Linked DNA regions of Astyanax mexicanus. The protein of the gene in region 2 interacts with the protein of the main gene of each other region in a pairwise test. Links are inferred from orthologs where the notes say so. Each region holds a gene or a part of one and is shown on either strand. Other genes may lie near its edges.

The links.
Region 1: the proteins of mal2 (region 2) and sh3gl1b interact in binary tests that used the Homo sapiens proteins (3 or more experiments, as listed by UniProt). The two-hybrid records come from large-scale screens. The link is inferred for Astyanax mexicanus from reciprocal best matches to the Homo sapiens genes MAL2 and SH3GL1.

The regions. Positions count from the first base shown.
Region 1 is NC_064419.1:7,483,734-7,490,868, forward strand, and holds the start of sh3gl1b (SH3-domain GRB2-like 1b), read right to left. Parts: upstream 3,112-7,135; 5' UTR 2,729-3,111; coding exon 2,684-2,728; intron 1-2,683. UniProt on the Homo sapiens protein: Implicated in endocytosis. May recruit other proteins to membranes with high curvature.
Region 2 is NC_064413.1:15,461,937-15,468,920, reverse strand, and holds the start of mal2 (protein MAL2), read right to left. Parts: upstream 3,019-6,984; 5' UTR 2,876-3,018; coding exon 2,654-2,875; intron 2,237-2,653; coding exon 2,066-2,236; intron 1-2,065. UniProt on the Homo sapiens protein: Member of the machinery of polarized transport. Required for the indirect transcytotic route at the step of the egress of the transcytosing cargo from perinuclear endosomes in order for it to travel to the apical surface via a raft-dependent pathway.

The DNA of each region.
Region 1 (7,135 bases), on a different chromosome or scaffold from region 2:
TGTGAGCATTTTCTTTTTACAGGTCCACCCCAAAGGAAACTGTGGCTAACTGGACTCAGCAAAACCCTCAGCTTTAGCCTGGTATATTTGGCAGCTCACCCCTTACTGGAACAAAGTCAATCACACCTCAGGCTTTGAAATCTACCTCAGCTTGGCTGTGTTCATTCAGTTTCTGCCAATAGATTATCCCTCTACCTTTGTAAACGGTTAAAGGAACACGTTGCAGCTCTGCTGAAGTGAACATGGCCTGTGTTTTCTCCAAATTGCACTCATAAAGCAGCTATAATAAGCTGCATCCTTAACGCTGTTCAGATTTTAAAACTATCTGCAGCCTTTTCTCAAAACCTGCCATTTCCTTGCCTAGCCAACTCCTTCATTTAGCTTTGATGTACATTTGCCAACCTACAAAGCATTTGGGTGAGAGAGTGAAGAAAATGTCTAAAAACACAATTAAAGTGACTGAAACACTTTGGCTGAAGAGAAAACACCAATGGTTGAGGATTTATACACTCTGGAAAAGAGGCTACAAGCCATAAGTACAGTTATAACCAGAGACTGTAAAAAAGATGGACGCCGTGTCTCCGTTCCCATTCATTCAATGAAAATGAAGCCAAAATCTTCCGCCATGTTGGCGATCCTGCCACCTGATTCTGCGCAGTAGAGACTAGAGGAGGGAGAAAGACTGTGGATAGCAACCTACTCATTTAAATAACCCCGCCCCTGAGGGCTGCCTCGCGGTCACAGACCTTTTTTGAATAGAGCTGAATAAACTTTTAAAAACCGAATTCTGTGGGGATATAAAAATTTGACAATATAAGCAGAGGTTACACTAGCTGCTGCATTTAAATAATGGAGGTAGAATTACAGTATATTAGAAAAAACGTGATTGAATGTTGTCTGTTTTGCCATTGAAACCTATGGGGATGGGTGGATTTACACAGCTTTCTGCAGCCGAACAGCAGGGGGCGCCTGACCTGTGGTGGCTTCACTTTTAAGAGACGATGCTCTGTCCAGCTATATACAGTCTATGGTTATAACCATAACCTCTTTATCACTGACAGGCGATTTGTGGTCTACCAAAATGCAGAACAATTCTAAAGCCACAATTTTTGCTTTTCTGTTTAAGCCATAGTGTATAATTTAAGAAATAAATAAACAGTGTCCTTTCTAGAAATGTGTTTTCTCCTCATATTGAACTATGATTTGGCGTAATTTTTTATTTGGAATAATTTAAGGAGACAACTCCAACAAACAACTCACAATATTGTGAGACCCATGGTATATATATATATATATATATATATATATATATATATATATATATATATATATATATATATAAATATATAAATCATAATATTAAGATTGCTTTTGTATCAGCTAGTGCTACAACGGATAAAGCTATGGAGTTCTATAGTTAAGAGGCTATAAGACACTTCAGGTCGAGAATTTATTTGCTGTTTGCTTGAACTCTCACTGCTGGTTACTTCTAGTTGATTCTCTATTATCTTTAGGATTAGCTTTGGCTTGTTAACCTTACACAGTTGTTTTAATCTCTGTGGGCATTCTACTGAAGAGCCTATAAGAAGTAATGACAGTTATAACTGCTTCATCACTGATGGACTACCGATAAAAGTATCGTCTACCAATATAAAATTTAGTTTAATATTTAGGGTACAACACTAAATAAGGTTCCTTTTGGGTAACCCAATTGAACTTTGTGTTAAATTAACACAACAGTCTACTTATGCCAAGGAAAATGACTTGTAATGAATGATATTGTAATTTATGTCTATATATATTGGATAGGACTACAATGAATACAGTTGTTAAGAGCTTTAGTAAAGTGGCAATTAGTAGTAAAGACAGTTATAACCACCATAACACTGATGGACAATATATTGTCTATCCAAACACTATCCAAATACATAGTAATTATAACATGACAGCATTGTTTGTTATCTACTTTAGCATTATATGTTTCGCATTTAATTATATCCATTTATGCTGAATGGATATAAATAGAATTTTAGACTTATAAACAGAAGGACAGTTCAGTTATAATTGCACAAGGATAAAAGACAAAGATAAAGATAACTTAAACATTCCCTGATGTTGATAGATCAACTAGATAATGTTCTATATTACAAGTTTAAGCTTTATGAATATTTACATGACATTAGGCTGCAAATATTACTGATGCATTGCCCATCCAAAGACATAGTGATACTGATTTAATAAGAAATAAATTGACTTAAGACCTTACTCTACCAAATGCTCACAATTACAAAAATACACAGTTTTGCGTTTGTACAACACAGCATTCACTTGAATTATGAATTAATTAATTAAAACTTCAACCTAAACATCGCCTGATATCGTGATACCGCGGTATATCAAACATATCACGACATTGGGCTTTTTTTCCCTCGATATTTATCGACCAGCTCCACAATGCAAAATGTGCAGCACAGTTAACGTTAGGTTAGCTAACGTTAGTTTGGTGGCAAAGTCGCCAGTATGAGAAAACTTAACATAAAAATAAACGCATACACACTTTAAAAACACACTTTAACACTTATCAAACAAACTTTAAACGGTTTTAAGTTCTTTAAAATGTTAAAAAGTTAAAGTTTATGAGATTAAGTGGAGAAAGTTGAAGAAGAGAAAAGTTAACTCAGACCTGGCTGGCTTTGTAGAACTGCTTCTTCAAGCCCGCGACAGACATCTTCAGGCCGGGTTTTTCGACGAAAACAGCGCGATAAAGTGTTAAAGTGCTTTTAAACCGGTTTAATACAGTAAACAAACGCGAATTAATCGCTTAAAAGCTGAAAAAATTAAATTGTCTCCAGACTCCAGCGCCTCCACGGCACCAACACACCAAACGGTTTTAACCAGCCGAGCACGGAGAGCCCCACAGCCGCCGCTGCTGAACGGTTCCCCGGGATGAGAGCAGCTCTGCGGGTCTCTAAAAGCGGCCGGTGCGGGCGGAAAATGTCCCCTGGTCCTGGTTCAGTTTTATCCACTTTGTTTGTAACTCGAGTGTAGCTGCACTGAGAACAGCTAGCGGTCCCCACACACTCTCCCTCTCGCCACCGCTTCCTGCGCAACGCAGCACATTCCCCAACCCCACACACCGAGCTTTCAGCGACATCTGCCGGCCACTAGCGGTACTGCACCCAGAGCAGAGGCCGCTGCAGTTCCCCTGCTAACCTGAAGAGGGGGACAAATTATATGATATATTGGCCACGTGGCCTATTCTGGAGGTGCGTGCACATTTTAAGTAGGCTAATGAAAAGATTTGACTCCAGACTTGACATAAGTCAACAGTGTTGAATTAGTTAAATGAGAAATCCGATGTGAAATGAACTTGAAGTGAAGTGAAACATTAAAAAAAAGGTTAAAAATTTTGTCAAATAGCCCACCTCTGTTCACCCCCAGCATTTCGAAATACAGGAATATTAGCCGATGCTTCCAACAGGCAAAATTAAGTCTATGGAAATTTCCACAGAATTAATTTTGCAATCTAGTCCCTTATCCTACCATTTTTTTTACTTTAGACTTATCTTGACTTAATTTCAAGATGGCTGCACCTGGAAAACATTCTTTTTTCATAAACTATGCACTTTACATCTGTGCACTTTCAATGATCTCAGTGGCTGCGTCCAGAAACTTTTGCTACTCCTCCTCTCCTACTCCTCCTTTCCTACTCCTCCTCTCCTACCCCGGAAGAAGGTGGAGGAATCGAGGAGAGGAGAGGAGGAATGGAGGGAAGGGGATTGCAATTGGGGAAATGGGACAGCTGATCCCTTTTGGATATAATGTTGACTGCCGATGAACTGAGCCAATCACAACGCTTACTTTCAGCACATGTTTTGGAACATTACTATCACACACAGCTAAAAATTCAGATATTCCAATAAAATCCTGTTTACTCCCAGCCGCATTTTTGGCCACAGCCGCAGCCTTATGACCTCAGCCTTATGAGGGTTTCAGTTTCCTCATCTGTCCCTAAGTAAAAAAAAAAGAAAAAGAAAAAATAGATAAATTAAAATTATATATATATATATATATATATATATTATAAATAATATATGTATGTATATGTATAACATGGTACAAATAGGGTCTTTAATATAGTTTTACTGAACATACAACTAACATACAGCTTATCTAAACTATAAATTATATTACTGCTTTACTGACTGTTTTATTAGATAAAGAACCTAGTTAATTAATACATTTATGACATATATTTGTGCGTTGCCTTCTCCATGCTTTGTGGGCGTGGATGCAGTGATGTCATTAAAAAATCCTTAAAAGTCTTCCGGAGTAGGATGCTTTTATGTACCCTCCTTTGGAAGCCTTCTACATGAGGATTTTAAGCGGATTCTTTCGTCTCCTACGGTTTTCGGACAGGCGGCAAGATGGCGCCACAAAATCAGTTTTTCTCGGTCACGGAGGAGAGGAGGAGGATCGGTAGGAAAAAGGAGACACCTTTGGGGTTTCTGGACGCAGCCAGTGACTCATTTTAAATGTCAGGACCCTCACAATTCTACCAATGAAGGTGGGAGCTACTTTGAGCTGGTTATTTTTGTCATAATAGTGATTTATTTGCATGGGCGACACGTATGCCTCTATCATTAGCACTGTAAACCTGTTCCGATCATTGGCTAAAAGAAGAAAGAAAAAAAAAGATACATGGAGAGATACATAGATAGACAGACAGATCCAACGTATGTATGAAAATTACATTTTCCATAAGAAACAACATGCAATATACATATTTTTACACTTGGTAAAGGAAAAGTGCAGAACTGCGCCATCTGCTGGATGCTTTCAGCAACGACGTTTGAGATCTTTACTGTGGGGATAAATGATGGGCAGCCGAGTTTACAGTACGTTTACGAGCCCAGCTTGGAGTAAATTTATGTTTTAATGCACTGCATTTAAGCTGTAGAGGGTGTGTCTCTTTTTTCTTACAAATATGTTAAGCCATTGTGTTGATATTCTAATTATTTCTAGTGACACCCTGAGTTGTTACCCGCAAAATATATATATAAATATATATATAAATCATGTTTTGTATGTAATTTTAAATGTAGGAACTAAATTTAAAATAAGAGCCCAGACCCAGTTTAAAATATTGAATCAAAACAAAAATAATCGAATCGATTTAATTAATTGAGCAGCTTAAAAAATCTGCTTGTTGTAAAGGTCACATGGCTTCCTCTGTAAAATTAAAGTTCATAATTATATGTGATATATGAAATTTGATTAAATTGTTAAATCCCGGAACTTTAGAAGCAAGACATAAACGTTAATTAAATATGTATTATGTATTTCCTATATAGTAAAACTTGTTTGGTCCTTCCGATAAACATCTATTGTTATGATTATATAGATACAGTATAGCTAGTACAACAATATTAATGTAGCCAAAAAAAGATACATTTTGTACTTTTATCTCCTCATATAGGAGAATGTTTTCTACAATATTTTGATTCACTTAAAATTAGAGATTATTTTATTTATTGTTAATACTACCTAAATGACTGTAACCTGGACACACAGCCGAATGCACTTAATCCTAATGGCCACTGCAGTTTATCTGTTCACCGCATGAGGGCAGCATTCACTTAATTAACAGCTTTAATACAATCTTAGTGCCAAACATTATTACACAACTGACTCAAAACAAATGTTCATTTTATGTAAAAAGACTTTTATTACATTCTTTATCCATATACTGTTTTCCCAATGTCCAATTTACATTTCATCCTGTGTAACTTTTTAAATCTTCTTATTCATAATACATCATAAATTACATTTATTAAAATCTATGATTTAAAAAAAAAAACTCAGAATGAAAGGAAACACAGAAGGAATTGTGACAATTAACAACTCAGGAAATTCTGCTTCTCTTAAAAACGCTCTTAAAAAAATAGAATTACGGTTCTCCGTAATAAAGAGGTGGAGAACTCTAACTGTGTGAGGAACAGGACCAGCGACAGAGAGACAGATCACGAGAAAAAAAAAACACAGGATCTTATATATATATATATATATATTTATTATATTTATACTTTATCATAGTCTGAGATCCTATTTTCTTATATAGATGAGGTTGTGAAGTTCTGTGATGGTGCTGATAATCAGATGGGAGAACATTTAATGGAGAACACTGAGGAGAACAGTTAGCAACACACATGGCATGTATCTCTGCTAATGGGTGAGAGGTGTTAGCCTGCTAGGCTAACTGAAGAAGACAATACAACAATTATAGGACCGAGAGCCCAGCCAACTCCCTGAGTGAATGTGTGTGTTTGTGTGTGTGTGTGTGTGTGTGTGTGTGTGAAAATGAGTCTTCACACCCCAAAAACCCACAAATGAAGTTAACATTTATAGGTGAGGTAAATTCAATTTAATTTAATATTGTAGGACTAGGCCTGTCCCAAAAAATAAATTTTCGGCATATCATTCAATTTATGGACATAACCTTTAATATTGCATTTTTATACTATTATCGTTATATCAGTTGCATAAAATGTCTTAAAATTACAATAATTCTAGTTTTCAATTAATTCTCAGCAATTATCAGCACAGGCATATGTAGGACTCTTTAGAAGGAAATTTCACTATTTAAACTTTTAGAATAAATTAAGATAAATCTGTTATTAACTGTAATTATCTTAGTTAGAGTGAGTTTGGTGTGAGACGCTCCATTTAAAGAAACACACCCACTTTAAATAGTTTGAAGTAGGTTGTTTTAAAGAGCCACTAAAGCCATAACCATATTTTGTTCCATTAATAGCTAAATTGTGTTACTTTAAAGTAATGAAACCCACCAGTTCTGCTTAAAATTTTTATAAACATAAAAATAAATGCTTTTATTGTGGTAATTTCTGCCTCTGCGGCGCCCTCTCAGGTTCAACTGTGCTATAGGCGAGGATGATGTGTCTGCGTACTTTGGTACGCTGACACATCACAATATGCAGTTCAGTCGCTTAATAATACCGCCCTCTGCTGACGTCCAACCATCCAGGTCTTACCACTATCAGCCAATCAGCTCTTCCTCCTGCCCCGCCTCTAAACCCATACATCACCCAGTGCCCGTCCCATTTTTTTGCCTTTT
Region 2 (6,984 bases):
CTTATCTCCTCCTTCGTTTAGGATAACAATAAAAATATACTGACAAAATGTCAGGATTCATGGGACTGGAATTGTGAAATTGTGAATTGTGAATCAGGGAGCATGAGATCATCATTTACACACATGGATTGAGAGTTCACCACAGAGTCCAGACCTAAACTTTATTGAGAATCTTTGGGATGTGCTGGAAAAGGCTTTGTTCAGAAGTCAGACTCTACCATTATCAATGCTGCAAGATTTTGGTGAAAAATGATTGCAAAAAAAATGCAACACTGGATTGAAGTAAATCTTGTGACATCGCAGAAGCTTATTGAAACAATGCCATAGTGAATGTGTGACACAATCAAAGCGTAAGGCGGTCCAACGAAATATTAAAGAGTGTGACCTTTTTTTGTGGCCAGGCAGTGTATTAAAACTCAACTCTGTATTAATGCAATTAATTAACAGGATATCAGCAATAATCTGTGCTTTATCTCTGCAGCAATTAATTATTAAGGAATATGAGTATAATGTGAAGGACATGTTACACACAGATATGTGCAGGACTGTTAAGCTGTGACCATTAATCATGCTCATAAAGCAGACATTACTCAGCAGCAGGGCTGGAACCCGGGCCAGGACTGAGGACTGGCACGCCTTTTGGCCACTTCCACTCTAGTTTCACTGCAGACGGAGCTCTTTGTCAGATTTAAGGAACCCAGCCAACAGCATGCTAACTGAATGGGAATCAGTTTTTGTTTGCTCAGTTTTGAATGAGTTCCAAGTAACTGTGCCATCATGGGTATTCGTCACAATGTTATTGGACTGGTGTGTTTCTGTGATACTCTATTTAGAAGTTCCTTTCTTAGAAAGCCTATAGTACTATAGTAGTAATGGTTTATTGTGTACATATATTAAATATTGAATTCCAAATATCAATGATTGGTTGGTAGAATGTTTTCTAAATGTTACAATTAACATCATTAGAACATCATTTTAATTAACATTGCTGCACTGTCACTTGTGTCAGTGTTTTAATTTGTTAGTTTTGAGAATGTTACTTTTAAAGTTTCCATAATGTTAATATTTATCTAACTGGGAATGTTATAAAGAAAGTTCTAAAAATGTTGTAATGCAAACCATTATCATGTCTCATGTTTTCAGAATGTTCCTGGAACATTATTTCTGTGACATTACAGGCTAACCTTTCTGGAACCTTTTCAAAACATTGCTAAACTTCCTTATAATGTTTCCTGCAAAAGGTATGAAAAGTATTCACATTCATTACTCTGGTAGAAGTATAGATACTAGAGTTTTAAAATAGAATTAAAAAAATGGCATTAAGAACAGATTAACAGAACAGAAAGATTAGGCCATGCCTTAGGGGCATTTTTTGCACTACCCACCCCTTCAGAAGCATTTATCTAAAATCCATAATGAGTATAATGTTATATTAACATTTTTAGGATGCACTAGGCTCACTTTTTCATCTGCATATTTGCCCACTGAAAATAAATGTATTTTAGTACAATGTAAATATATTGAAGAAGCTTAGTTGGGACATTTGTCTCGAGTTCTCTTGAGTCTCGGCATGGATCATCTTCATACTAAGCTACATACGTCTGCTATGTTCTTACTGGAGTGTGACGGTGTGACGTGTGTAGGTGTGCTGGATCGTGTATAAACCAATAGTGTTGGAATGGTATATGTTTATTCTTCTCATCCAATCACAATAAAATTCACTGTATCTGTCTTTAAATATAAAGAGATTTATCTGGATAAGGTTTTTTTTTTTTATCAATGAGAAGCCAGAATTAAAACAAGCTGAAATTAAATAGAGTAACAAGGCTATATTTAAAAAGTAAGGAGAAGAAAATTCAGATTATTGTGTAAACATGTAAGAAGTAAAAACATAACTATTCCAGTAAAGTATAGATAATCAACATTTCTACTTAAGTAAGGTAACAAAGTATTTGTATTTTGTTACCTGACACCTCTCTGTGTCAGGTAAGCTGGAGTCCAGCAGTGTCCAACAGTATAGTAGGGAAATGAACACTCCATGTAGGAAGGAGTTAAAGATACTCACCATGAAATTCCAGTCTGCGTTGATTTTATCAGCAAAGCCCAGCAGAAACAGGGCGAGGTACACGGAGGAGCACACAAACATGGTTACGGACACAAACATCACCCAGCCCTGCAGAAGAGGCACGGGGACATTGGACGATGCCACTAAGATCCATACTAACCCGCCGAAAACCTAGCAGGAGGGAACAGGAGAGGTACAAAATGTTCTATTAGTAATCTGATCAGAGGCCTATTCATCCATCAGAAGAAATCACTGTGTAAAAGTTGAGATGTGTCCTGAAATACACACTTCAACCTGAAATGACTTAGTAAAGAGTTGCACAGCATGAAATCACTGCTCAATCTGAGTCTATTTGATTATGAATTAGGTGCATTAATGGTTTAGGTTGTGTTTGCTACTCTAAAGCCATTCTTAATCAATCATTCTTAATAATCCATAGTAGTGCCACAAGCAACATTTATATACTTTATTAAGTATTGCTCAGCAATTCTGCTCTTTTCTATTCAGGCATTTCTTCAGCATGACTATTTTACACTGATCAAAAACATGCAAACATTACACAAGATTTAAAATTTAACACACACTTACGATCTCCAAGCATATCAGAGCCCCCGAGTACGTTCTCAAAACGTCCAGCCCGAGCGGTAAGGATATAGTGGGCGTTGGGAAAGAGGTAGCGGCCGGGTTCGTGGCTTCAGCCATCTCTCTCAGAGGCTCAAAGGCTTTCCAGAGAACGAGTGTGTTGAAGTGTGTAAGTCCCTGGGAGTCATGTGTCGCGAACCGGTCCGACAGGTGTGCAGCCACTCCCATTCATGGCTGAAGACCGCTGAGGACAAACCGCCATCTCAGAGCAGCTATCTGCAGTGCCTCCCTGTCACTTTCTTGCTTAGCCTTTCACATCTTCAGTCCATAAAAAAAATCGTTGTTTTATTTGATCTCCTCTCTTTTCTTTCTGTCTTTTTTTTTTTTTTCTTCTGTTGTTTAACCAGCAGCCTGGCAATGTCACCACGAGTTAATAATTAACCAAAAAGCTTTGGGGACACTGCTCCTGGGTAAATATTAGGTTATGGCATTCCAAGGAGATAAAGAGTGGATGGAGGTTATATATATATATATATATATATATATATATATATATATATATTTATATATAAGTCTCTGTTAGTGTGATGATGAAGGTTGTTTCATAAATCAAATTAAAAGTTTGGCCTGCTAAGCCAAGGTTATGTACATAGAGGCTTCTATAGATGTTTGCTGATATTGTAAGTGCGCTGCTTATTGGCTCATGAAGGAATTTTACACCAGTGCTTTTGGCTTGTTAGAGATTTAGTGATCTGTGGCTTATGTTTAAAATGTCTAGAACAGAAAAGGCAGATACTGTGTTGCTCTGTTTTAATCTAGGTTACGGAAATTTGGAAATTTGCCAGTTGCAGTGTAGGGTAATTATTGATTGCCTAGATACACCTACCCATGTGTCAGTGACCCTTTAAACAGCACACACACACACACAAAACCACACGAGTGAATCAGTGAATAACATTGATTATCCCATCATAATTGCACCTGTCAAGAGCTGGAATTTATTAGGCAGGAAGTGAACAGTCAGTTCTCAAAGTTGATGTGTTGGAAGTGGAGCTGCCAATCAGCTGTAAGGTATACCACCTTATCTGTGAACCATGAAGGTGTGGGTGTCAAGACATACTGAAGCTTTGCACGGCTGCCACAGATGCTGGTGCACTTATCTTCACTGATGGCAGTAGCGCACTGACACTTGACTCAATTTCTAACAAAAGTCTCCAAATTTACTGGGCGGTGCTTAATCCTGCAGCTAAATAATCATCCCAAACATACTGAAGAGCAACTTTGTTAAGAGTCTTCACATTCATTTCTCAGATAGAAGTGTATATAACAGGGGTTAAAATACTTCTGCAGAAATTAAAGTAAAAGTGTAAAAGTACAGGTTTCAAATTTACTTAAAGTATAAAAGTAAAAGTAAAGTAAGGGGAAAATGGCATTAAGAACATAAGCTTAGGCTGTACCTCAGGAGCCTATTTTTTCTAAAATGTTATATTAAAATGTTAATGCAGGGATGTACTAGGCTCATTGAAAATGAATTCATTTTATTCAAATATTCAATTATACTAAAGAAGCCTAGTTGAGACATTTTGCTTAAGTTCTCTTGAGTCTCTGCACGGATCATCTTCATACTAGGCTACATACCTCTGCTATGTTCTTGCTGGAGTAAGACGTGACATTAAGGTGTGATGGATCACAGTATAAACCAAAGCGGAGTTGGAAATGTATAGATAACCATTTCTACTTAAGTAAGATAACAAAGTATTTGTACCTCGTTACTTGACGCATCTACTGCTAAGACATTAAAGGAGTTCCTCAAAATAAAAATTAAAGCTGTTTTAACCAGTTTAAACCTGATTTAAATTAAATTGATTATGTTTTCCATTTACTGAGCAGACAACTGAGGAAAAAAGGACCAGAAACAAGCAAGAGTAAAAGATGGCTGCATTGTAGGCTTGATGAAAATCTCTGTAAACTGCAGACCTCCGTCAGTCAGTGAAAAGATTGTCAAAAACTTACTTAACATGACTGCTCTCATGTATATATTACTGCAGATTTCCTAACATTATACAGCTATAGAAAAAAATAAGAGACCACTTAAAAATGATGAGTTTGTTTCATTTTACCAAATTGAAAACCTCTGGAATATAATCAAGAGGAAGATGGATGATCACAGCCATCAAACCAAGATGAACTGCTTGAATGTTTGCACCAGGAGTGACATAAAATTATCCAAAAGCAGCGTGTAAGACTGGTGCAGGAGAACATGCCAAGATGCATGAAAACTGTGATTAAAACTCAGGGTTATTCCACGAAATATTGATTTCTGAACTCTTAAACTTTATGAATAAAAACTTGTTTTCTTTACATTATTTGAAGTTTGAAAGCTCTGCATTTTTTTATTATTTCAGCCATTTCTCATTTTCTGCAAATTAATGCTCTTAATGAGAATATTTTTTATTTTGAAATGTTGTCTGTAGTTTATAGAATAAAACAACAAAATCAGAGAAACTGATTCAGAAACTGACGTTGTCTCTAAGTTTTCCCCCAGAGCTGTATTGCCCTAAATTTGGGCTACAACATTTTATTTTTAATTTCAACATGGTAAAATTGTGATGCATGTAAATACCCTTAAATTAATATCTGGAACATGTACTTTACTCTCATCTGAGTGGAATGTTTTAAAATACTTTTGAAGTATGTGTGAGTGTGCATATCAAAGAAAGAGGTATTAATCTTTAAAGGGCAAACAGTGAATGTGAATAAATACACTGCTTTTGTTGATTGATATGAAGTCCTCTATCAGAGTTTTATCAGCCCTGATCTTATCAAGACAGACATTTAGACTGTGACACATAATGTAATATAAATGAAGGAACCTATGAGTGAAATAGTAAATGAATAAATCAGTTAATCATTTACTTTCCACTCTTATCCTTCTATAATGTAGCCTCATTATAGATGGTATGACAGAAAATTGTGCAAAATGTCATGTTCTTAAATCAATAAACCTACAGAATCAGTTAATATGCAAAAGCTGTGGGAAACTGCTAATGCTAACCTAATGAACATAAATTATTATTCTTCATTTAGAGAGAACCATATTACTGTACTAATATTGTGGCAGTGTTGGCATTGGAGTTGTGAGGATTTAGGAGCTTTCAAGGAGCTCCCAGCACATTTAGTAGTTGCCCTCTTTCTTCTTTGTTGAAGTTATTGGGCATATAACCCAACCCCAAATCCCTAATAATGGGTTAAGTTATTGTTTATACATTTAAGTAAAGTTAACAAGACTTAAGCCCAGAAATCTTTGCTCATTATAATGAAAAGACTTAAAATTATAGGATTTTCCCCTTTGCTTAATTAAAACAGCAAGTAAAGCCCGAAATTTGTGTTTATTTTGTTTAGAAATTTGTAAGTAAAGTCAACATGACATGACTAAGCACACCTAAAAAAATATTGTAAGATCCCACATTTTACAAGATACTGAAGAAAATATCATGCAAAGTCCTACAGAAGGATTACACGGAACGAGCACAGTCACTGTTTATTTTAATCGTGAGGCAACTGTATTTCATATATTATGTTTATAAAACAGTTTACACCCATTTCTTGGAAATAGGCAAGTATTAAACCGCCGATATAATACCCCTTTAAACTGGTGGCTAGCTATACCGTCTCATAAAAAAAAACTGCATGGGTAAGAGTTGTGAGGAATCTTTGTATTTTGATTTTTTTTTTTTTAGAAACACGTGGCTACAATGAACTGTGTTGGCTTACAGCCATTTCTTGGAAGTAGCTAGTAGTAGCAGGAAGTAGAAAGTAGTGTTAACAACCCCCATGAGCGGACCAAAGTAACCACGTTAGCATGCTGTTATGGAAACACCACGTTAGTTAGCATCCCCCATGAGCGGACTAGAGTCAGTGTCTTAGCATGCTGCTATGCTAACACTGGGTTAGCGACCCCCGCGAGCGGACCAGAGTCACCGCGTAAGCATGCTGTAAGCACACGTTAGCAACTCTGATGTTTGGTTAGAGAGAGAAAAAGGGTCTTCACTGATGAATCGCTGTTTAAAAAGAACTATCATACTAAAAAAATAGGACTATCGTTTGGCCTCGTTATTCCACCCCTGGTGACACTACAGTATAGTAATATAATGTAGACATATTCTATATATTAATGTGGATTTAATATATTAATTTTATTTTACCAGACCTAAGAAACCTTAAGGAATTGCACAGTCTGTTGCCATTCTGTTACTAGTAAATTAATACAGGAAAAATTCCTGCATCTAATAACTAGTTACATATTTGCCCAAGCCTATTTCTCCTACCTATATACA